Rhinolophus ferrumequinum: one gene and its partner. The protein of the gene in region 1 interacts with the protein of each later gene in a pairwise test. Links are inferred from orthologs where the notes say so. Each region holds a gene or a part of one and is shown in the gene's direction. Other genes may lie near its edges.

Region 1 (3,745 bases):
TTTTATAGGTATGGAAACTGAGGCTCAGAGTGGTGAAGTGACTTGCCCTAGGTCAGACAGTAGTATAGGAACACCCAGATCTGTGAATCCAACACCCAGGCCTTGTCCCCTTCTGCACTCCCACCTCTGGGAGTGCTTCTCTTCAGGAGAAATTTCACTCCCCCAAGAAGTCCTCTTCTCTGAGACCTGCTGGCTGATTTTCCTGGGTCCTGGGGTCTAACCACTCCGTGGGCACCGTACTAGTTGGGTTCCTTGCCCTCGGGGTGGCATGCAGGCCAAGAGATGCTGTGGGGGGTGCCCAGGGCTCAGAGGCCTGTTCTCTCAGCCTAATTGCTGTGTGACTTTGGGCTGCTGCAGAGCCTCTCTGGGCCTCACATTTTCCACCTCTTTTTCAGGGGAAGCCCCGGGTAAATTTATAACAGCTCCAGGTTTGCTGTCTCGGAAGGTGTTAGCAAGGCCACAGAACCCTCACCTGAAAAACAGCACCCCAGCCCAGCCGCAGCGGGGCGGATTATGTAACCAGGCGCTCTGCGCGTGTGTTGGGGGTGTGGGGGGGGCGCAGGGCGTGGCGCTCACAGTTATTCCGGGCGCCGCTATTTTTAGCCCCATTGATGAGGCTGCGTCGGCCGCCGCCGCCGGGATTCCGGAGACGTCAATGGGTGCACGTCACGGTCCCTGCCCGCCCGCCTGCCGGGGGAGGCGCGCCCCGAGCTGGGACAGAGGCGCGGGCGCCCGCGGGCCGCGGGGGCGGGGGGCGCGGCCGCAGCCGGAACTGCTAGGTGGGGGGCTTCCCCCGGGCGAGGGGCGCGGCGGCGCGGCGGCTCGGCTGCGGGAGCGTGAGGCGGCTGCAGCGGAACTGGTGGGGGTCCCGCGCGGCGCCCGCGACCCCAGGCCTCCAGGCATGGTCGCCTCTGAGGTGCGGAGCGGCTCCCCCGCCGGCTGGTGCGCTAGCTGGGAAGGCGGGGGTGGAGAGGCGAGCCACGTTCGCCCGGCCAGGTGAGCGGGTCGGGGGGGGCGGGGAGAGGTGGTCCCGCAGAGGTCCGGGAACAAGAGGATCTTGCGGTTGCACTGGGATGGGCCGGGGCCACGCCGGGAGTCCTGCTTCGAAGCCGGACAGCGTGGGGGAAGGGACTGGATTCCCAGCGGAACCTGCTACCTCGGAGTCAGCCCCCAAGAACGGCGGCCAATGCTTTCTCTAACCAGCCCGCCAAGGGTGGGGTTTGGCCCGCGAGGGGCGTTGGAGGTGTCTAGGCCGGAGAAATTCCTTCCATTTCCCTGCCGGCTGCGGGGAACGGGTTCCAGGAGTTGGGGAGCGTGGCTGCCAGGACGCCGAGCCGCGAGGCATCAGGATTGCCCGGTGCAGTCCTTTCATGGGACTGAGTTGAGAAACCGAGGCCGAGAAGGGTCTCATGGAGTCAGGAGCCGACCTGAAATTAGAAATGCTGAGGAGGTGGCATTTACAGTCCTTTACAGTGAAGTATCAGTTTGGGTTTGGGGCTACTATTTAAGGGCATGCTGGGAAAACGAAGGCTGGGCATAGGTCGGTGGGTTCACAACAGTTCTGCCCAAAGGATGAAGGAAGACTTAAAAGGGAAGCCAGCTGAATCTTTGTAGTGACCTAGAGCTGAAAGGAGTGACAAGTGTACAGTAGGATAAAAATCAAGATTCCAAATGATGGCAACTGGGCAGAAGGATGGACCAAGACTAACAAGATGAATGTGACTGATTATAAATGTTGAGGCCTGTGCTGGAGTTAAGAAAATTAGCTCAGGAGTTCAGGCCTAGAGCCTGGTTCAGAGGCCCAGCAACCCAGGCCTGGGAGCGTCCCACTTGTTCTCTGGTGTTGGCTGTCAAACTGCTCTGTGCAATCTGAGACCTCTATCCACTAATCAGGTCCAAGGGGGAAAGCAGAATGCGTGGCCCTGGGCTCCCTGGTTGGGCTCCCTGGGTTCTAATCCCAGCTTTGCCACTTCTAGCTGTGTGACCTTGGGCAAGGTGCTTAACATTTCTGTGCCTTAATTTCCTCATTGGTGAAGTGTTCATAATAATAATAATGATAATAATAATAATAATAATAATAATAATAATAACAGTCCCTTCCTCATAGTGTTGTGAGGCTGAAATAAGAAAATGCATGTAAAGTGCTTAATGATGTATCTAGCCCATGGCGTTCAACATGTATTTCCTGTTGTTATCCTTTGTTATATTAAAATGCCCATTTCTGGTTGGAGACTTTGGCCAATGCAGATCTTTTGCCTAGGAGGCCACCAGGGCTGCATAGGGTCTGTCAGTCATGTCCTGTTGCAAGGGGGAGTTTAGTTAAGAAAAGACACAGTTATTTTAGGAAAGAAAAGGGTTTTGGGTGGGCCCATGCAGAGCTGGGACTTAGGGCTGGGGGCTCTTGGGGGTCAGGGTTTTGACTCAGCATAGGGAAGAGCCCTCAGACTTTTAATCTGTCCCCAAATGCAAGGGACAGCTCCTTAGCTGCAATATCCTTCCAAGCTCCCAGCTCAGTTCTAATGCAGGCATGCATGAGTCCTCCTCCTTTTCCATCATTCCACGAATACTTATTAAGTACCTACTAGCGTCAAGCTGTTTTAGAGACTGAAGACTACATCGATCGAGAGAGACAGGTGAACAAATGAGCAGCAGTAGTCCTATGGGGATAACAAAAACAGGTTAATGTGGTGGGGTAGGGTAGAGGCGCTCCAAGGAAATGAGAATGGAAACCTGATTGATGAGGAGGAGATAGCTATACAGACATCCAGGGCAGTGATTTCCTAGCAGAGGGAACAGCCAGTGCAAGGGCCCTGAGTGGGGAAAGAAAAGCCCATATGGCTGGAGCACAGTGAGGAAGAGGGAGCAGGAGGTAGGTACTGATGTCTGGCCTGATGCCGCCACCCCATTTGGAGAGCATCACTTTCTCCTCCTCCGGGCCCACTTAGACTTTGCCATTGATCTTGATTGATTCCCCAGTGTAACCTCCTGGGACCCAGGGATCTTGGTTTGCTGCTTCTTGGGTCTCCCACTAGTCATGGCTAACTGCCCGTCTCACAGGAGGCCCCCGGGAAATGCTTGTAGAATGACTGTAGAGGAGGAGATTTTGATCTAGGACAGGATATGGGATCAGGTACCTGCTCTAAGATGTTAGGAATCACTTTCTTGGCACCACTGGGTCCCTGACTCTGGCTCCTGTTCTCAGACACAGGTGGGGATGACCTGGGCACTCAGGTTGGGCCTGACTGGTAGAAGGGGGGTGAAGGCCTGACATCAGACCCGTTCTGGAGTATGGGGAGATGACCGTCATTCTGGGAGGCAGGTGTAGCCTGTTGGCTAGGGCACGTGTGCGGCCTGATTTTGCCTTCTCTTTGGGGTTGGAAGCCCCCCAGATGTTCCAGATTGCTCTCCCCTCCTTCCCTCCTGTGGCCTTCAGTCCCTGCTCCCAGTATACCCACAGGAACAAAGGGGTGCGGGTCGTTCTGTATGAGGAGAATCTGTGTAACGTGGGCCGGAGGAGTTCCCCTTATCTGTGTAGCTTGGGGCAGAGGTCAGGAGGGCAAGGAATCCCATCACCCATCCTTTGGGGCCCTCTTCCTTCTTACTCCCTCTGCCTCCCATCGTGGAAACATCTACTTCTCTTTTCCCAGGCCTCATCACTGCCCGAATGGCAGCCTGATGACCAGAGAATGCCAACACTTGGCTGCGCCTGTCCTCACTCTGGGGCCCAGTCGAGAGAGGAGAAGGC
Region 2 (3,745 bases), on another chromosome or scaffold:
GGATATAACATGTGAAAGCAACTTGAAACTAAGACAGGCTGTTAGGAATATTGGGTGTGACTTAACAAAAATCAAGTGCTTACAATAGCAAATGCCATGTGTCAGGTGCCTTGGGAAACAAAGATGAATTCGACATCTCCCAGGGAGCTAGCTGACAGTCTAATAGACTTCTGCGGGGTTCAGAAAGATGACAAGAGCTCACAGGAATATAGAAGGGATTCTGGCTCCTTAATGTGATGGGGTAATTGTCAGAAGGTGGAACAACACTGTGCTGGGAGTAAGTTTGGTCTTCTGGGAACTTTTAAAATCTTGATTTAAAAAAACCAAAAAACATTTTGAGACAAGCTGAAGTCACCAAAGTGCCTGTTTGCCCTTGCCTGCTGGAGAATAAATGTTAGACCTTTCTTCTCCAAGTTTCCCAGGACTTAAAAGGGCTGCAACTAGAGGAGGGAATCGTGGCTCTGTTCATACAGATCACTTCAAAGAGAAAACGAGTAACTGTTAGAAGTATAAAATGCAAGCGGTTCAAAAGCAGATAGGTTAGTTTGACTTTGTTGGGGTGCTGTGCGGTAGTTAGGCTTTGTGGAAAAAAATGGGAATGGGAGGATGTCTAAACCAGTGCAGAGCAGCAGAGCGCGTGAGGCCAGTCACGTGCGATGCCAGCAAGTAGCGTTTGCAGAGTTGGGCTGAGCGCCTGGTCCTGGCCCGCCCCAAGGCGCAGGCGCAAATGCGGGCTGGGGGCGAGCGGGCGGGGCTGACGCCCACGTGGCGGGGGGGGGCGGGGGGCCCCGGGAACGGGGAGAGCAGGGGGCGGGGTGGGGGCCGGGGAGTGGGAGGGCGGAGCAGGTCTCGCGAGGCCGCGCCCTGGCTCGCGCGGGCGTCGAGCGCGCGGTTGTAGCTGCCTGGCGGCGGGAGAAGTCGCGCGCGCGCGCGCCAAGGGACTTGTGTCTGCACTCGCGTGGTCATGGAGGTACCGTCGCGGTTGCCAGCCGCGACGACTCCAGTCCCCGGCTGGAGCCGAAGGCTGCTGCTTTTGCCGCTGCTGCTGTTCCTGCTGTCGGCTGGGGCACTGCGGGGCTGGGAGGCAGAGGAGAGGCCCCGAACCCGTGAAGAGGAGTGTCACTTCTACGCGGGGGGACAAGTGTACCCGGGAGAGGCGTCCCGAGTTTCGGTATCCGACCACTCCCTGCACCTCAGCAAAGCTAAGAGTAGGTGGTGCCCCGCCAATGGGGTGGGGTGCGGAGGTGACCGGTGGCAGAGGGAGGCGGGAAGTGAGGAGGGCCGGCAGACACATGTGCCCTGGTTACAGTGGGTACCCCGGAACCTGGCTTAGGCTACACCCCCTGGGCTGCCTCCGGTCCCTGGGCAGGCCTGGCTTTCTTAGGGAGTGGGGTGGGGGAGTGGGTTCCAGCTGTTGAGAAAGGGATGGTTTTCACTAATCAGATTTTGGAAGAAGTAGTGGTTACCCCAAAAGCCGCAGAAAAGGGAAAGAGGGTGGCCCTGGTCCTGGACCTGCAGACATCTGAGGATGTTGTGCAAACTGAAACACTTCCTCAAACATCGCCAAGTGGCTGCAGCACGTCACGTCTGTTTCCAAGTACTATTTCAGGGAAGAATACGTTGATAAGTTGAATAAGGATTCACAAAAAGTTTGATTAAACAGAAAAGTGGCTAAACAAAATACTCAGGAGAGCAAACGTTTCATTTTTTCTTTCCTTTTTTTCATCTTATAAGGAAGACTATTAAAAGCCCTTCCCCAAAACTTGTATAGTTAATGTGTATTCTTTGTGTCTCTTAGAAATGAAGAACTTATTACAGGGTGTACTTTGGAGGCTTTTTGTAGGGAAAGCGGGGAAAAGGAGGTTGAAAGTAATGCATCTGAGTTGATGGTAAACCTCGTGGCAAATTTGTGTCCTGCCAATTTGGCTTTTCATTATTTGCATTTCTGTCCAGTGTACACAGCTAATGGCCACTTGCAGGAAGGACACGTCAGACTAGTAAAATACTGATAAAGTTGTGGCCTGCTGCATCTGGATGTTAACATTAGCCAAAAAGAAGTGACCAGAGGTTAAAGGATAAAAACTGTCCCTTGCTTGCTTTAAAGTAACCTGCTTTTCCTACTGATCACTTGGCATTCTGAACATGTGTATTTGGCTTTTGTGGTTCAGTTATAGCATATTCTATGCCAGCATTCAGTGAAAAAAGTATGCTTTACAGTTATGAATCCTAAGTGTTACGTGGGATGTTGTTATGACAGTGGGAGTGATGGGAAAACTGTTTTGCCTCCTTAAACATTTGCAGTTATTTTCTACTGAAAGTTAACTACTTTTAATTTTTTTTTTAAACCCAGTCTTGCCCTTTTAAAATCATAATATTTCCAAGTCCCATTTAGTTTAATTTGCCTGGGAAGATATTTTGAAATATGTCAGCTAGTTAAGTGTTTACTGGCATTACACGTATTTCTCATCAGAAATCCCATCTAAGTCTTCTCATAAAAGCAAAAAAAAAAAAAACAATTGTAATAGAGTTTCCTTTACCAGCAAACTTTTTCAAATTTTTGTAGGCTTATCTAGAATTAAAGAGACAAGGACTTTTATTAATAAAATGGAATATTATAGAGCCATTAAGGTCATACTTACAAATAACTTTTAGTCACATGAAAACCTGTTCATGATTTACAATTTTTTCTTAAAGGGGTGCAACATGATCCATATTTGTGTGTTTAAGAAAGACTGGAAGAAAAGACATCAAATGTTAACAGTAGTTAAATTAATGAGGTTATGGGAAGAGGAGATTTAAATATGCTTCTTTATACTGCTTTGTTTTTGCCAGAATCTTTGTTATATGATTTATATTCAGGATTTTAATAGATGCAAGGGGTTGTTTTGGGAATTCCGTTTATAGATCTTAGCAAGGTGACTCCATTCTTTTTGCTCTATAAATTGATAACAGTTTTTTCTTTGAATTAACACTGCAATTCTTAAAGCAAAAACCCAAACTTTCCAAACTCAGAATTTTGAGAACAAAATTTATTTTTCAGATTTGGTTTTCTCAACATGCTAAAATCATTAAGGAGTGTCATTTTAACAGATGATTACAATTTTAACCTCACACTTGAGTGGCATTTTCAGTAATGTCTTGTAAAGCATATAGAGTTTAGTACCCTTCTGCTATGTAATTCTCCCTCCTGGCCTTAACCTAATCAGATCAGGATATTTATATGCGGTACACTGCTGACGCAAGATAAGTAATTATCTTATATATTAACTTCACAGAAAAATTTATCTTAAGTTTGTGTCTGTTTTCAGAGTGACCATAAATGCTGGCTGTTATACAAAATATAATAAATGCTGGCTATTATAAGCCTTACTTTCTAGGAACTTTAGCCAAACTTGGAAGTATTGACTTCAATGTATGTAATGGTTCTGAAAGTTTAAGTGCTATCTCAATGTGTTAACAGAAGATCAAGGTACATTATTATCGAAGCATGTTGACTAGAATTACAGCATGCCCTTACAAGAGAGAAGCACGAACTATTCAATTTCCATCAGGTCACTTAAAACCTGTTCAAGGGGGCCTCCTCTTTCAGAACCTTCTAGGAAAATAATCCTATTGTCTGGGATTTTATACTTCTGGCCTAACGCATTTGCAGATTTCTTTGAGTGTGGCAGAAGGTCCTCTGTGTGTGAGAAACTGGACATTTAAATTAGTACATCTGAAAGACTACCAGTAGAGAAAGGAACAT

The links. The genes of interacting proteins can lie anywhere in the genome.
Region 2: the proteins of NR4A1 (region 1) and PRDX4 interact in a two-hybrid assay, tested with the Homo sapiens proteins (2 studies listed by BioGRID and IntAct). The link is inferred for Rhinolophus ferrumequinum from reciprocal best matches to the Homo sapiens genes NR4A1 and PRDX4.

The regions. Positions count from the first base shown.
Region 1 is NC_046293.1:52,247,057-52,250,801, forward strand, and holds the start of NR4A1 (nuclear receptor subfamily 4 group A member 1), read left to right. Parts: upstream 1-810; 5' UTR 811-996; intron 997-3,745. UniProt on the Homo sapiens protein: Orphan nuclear receptor. Binds the NGFI-B response element (NBRE) 5'-AAAGGTCA-3'. Binds 9-cis-retinoic acid outside of its ligand-binding (NR LBD) domain.
Region 2 is NC_046284.1:108,181,334-108,185,078, reverse strand, and holds the start of PRDX4 (peroxiredoxin-4), read left to right. Parts: upstream 1-841; 5' UTR 842-964; coding exon 965-1,208; intron 1,209-3,745. UniProt on the Homo sapiens protein: Thiol-specific peroxidase that catalyzes the reduction of hydrogen peroxide and organic hydroperoxides to water and alcohols, respectively.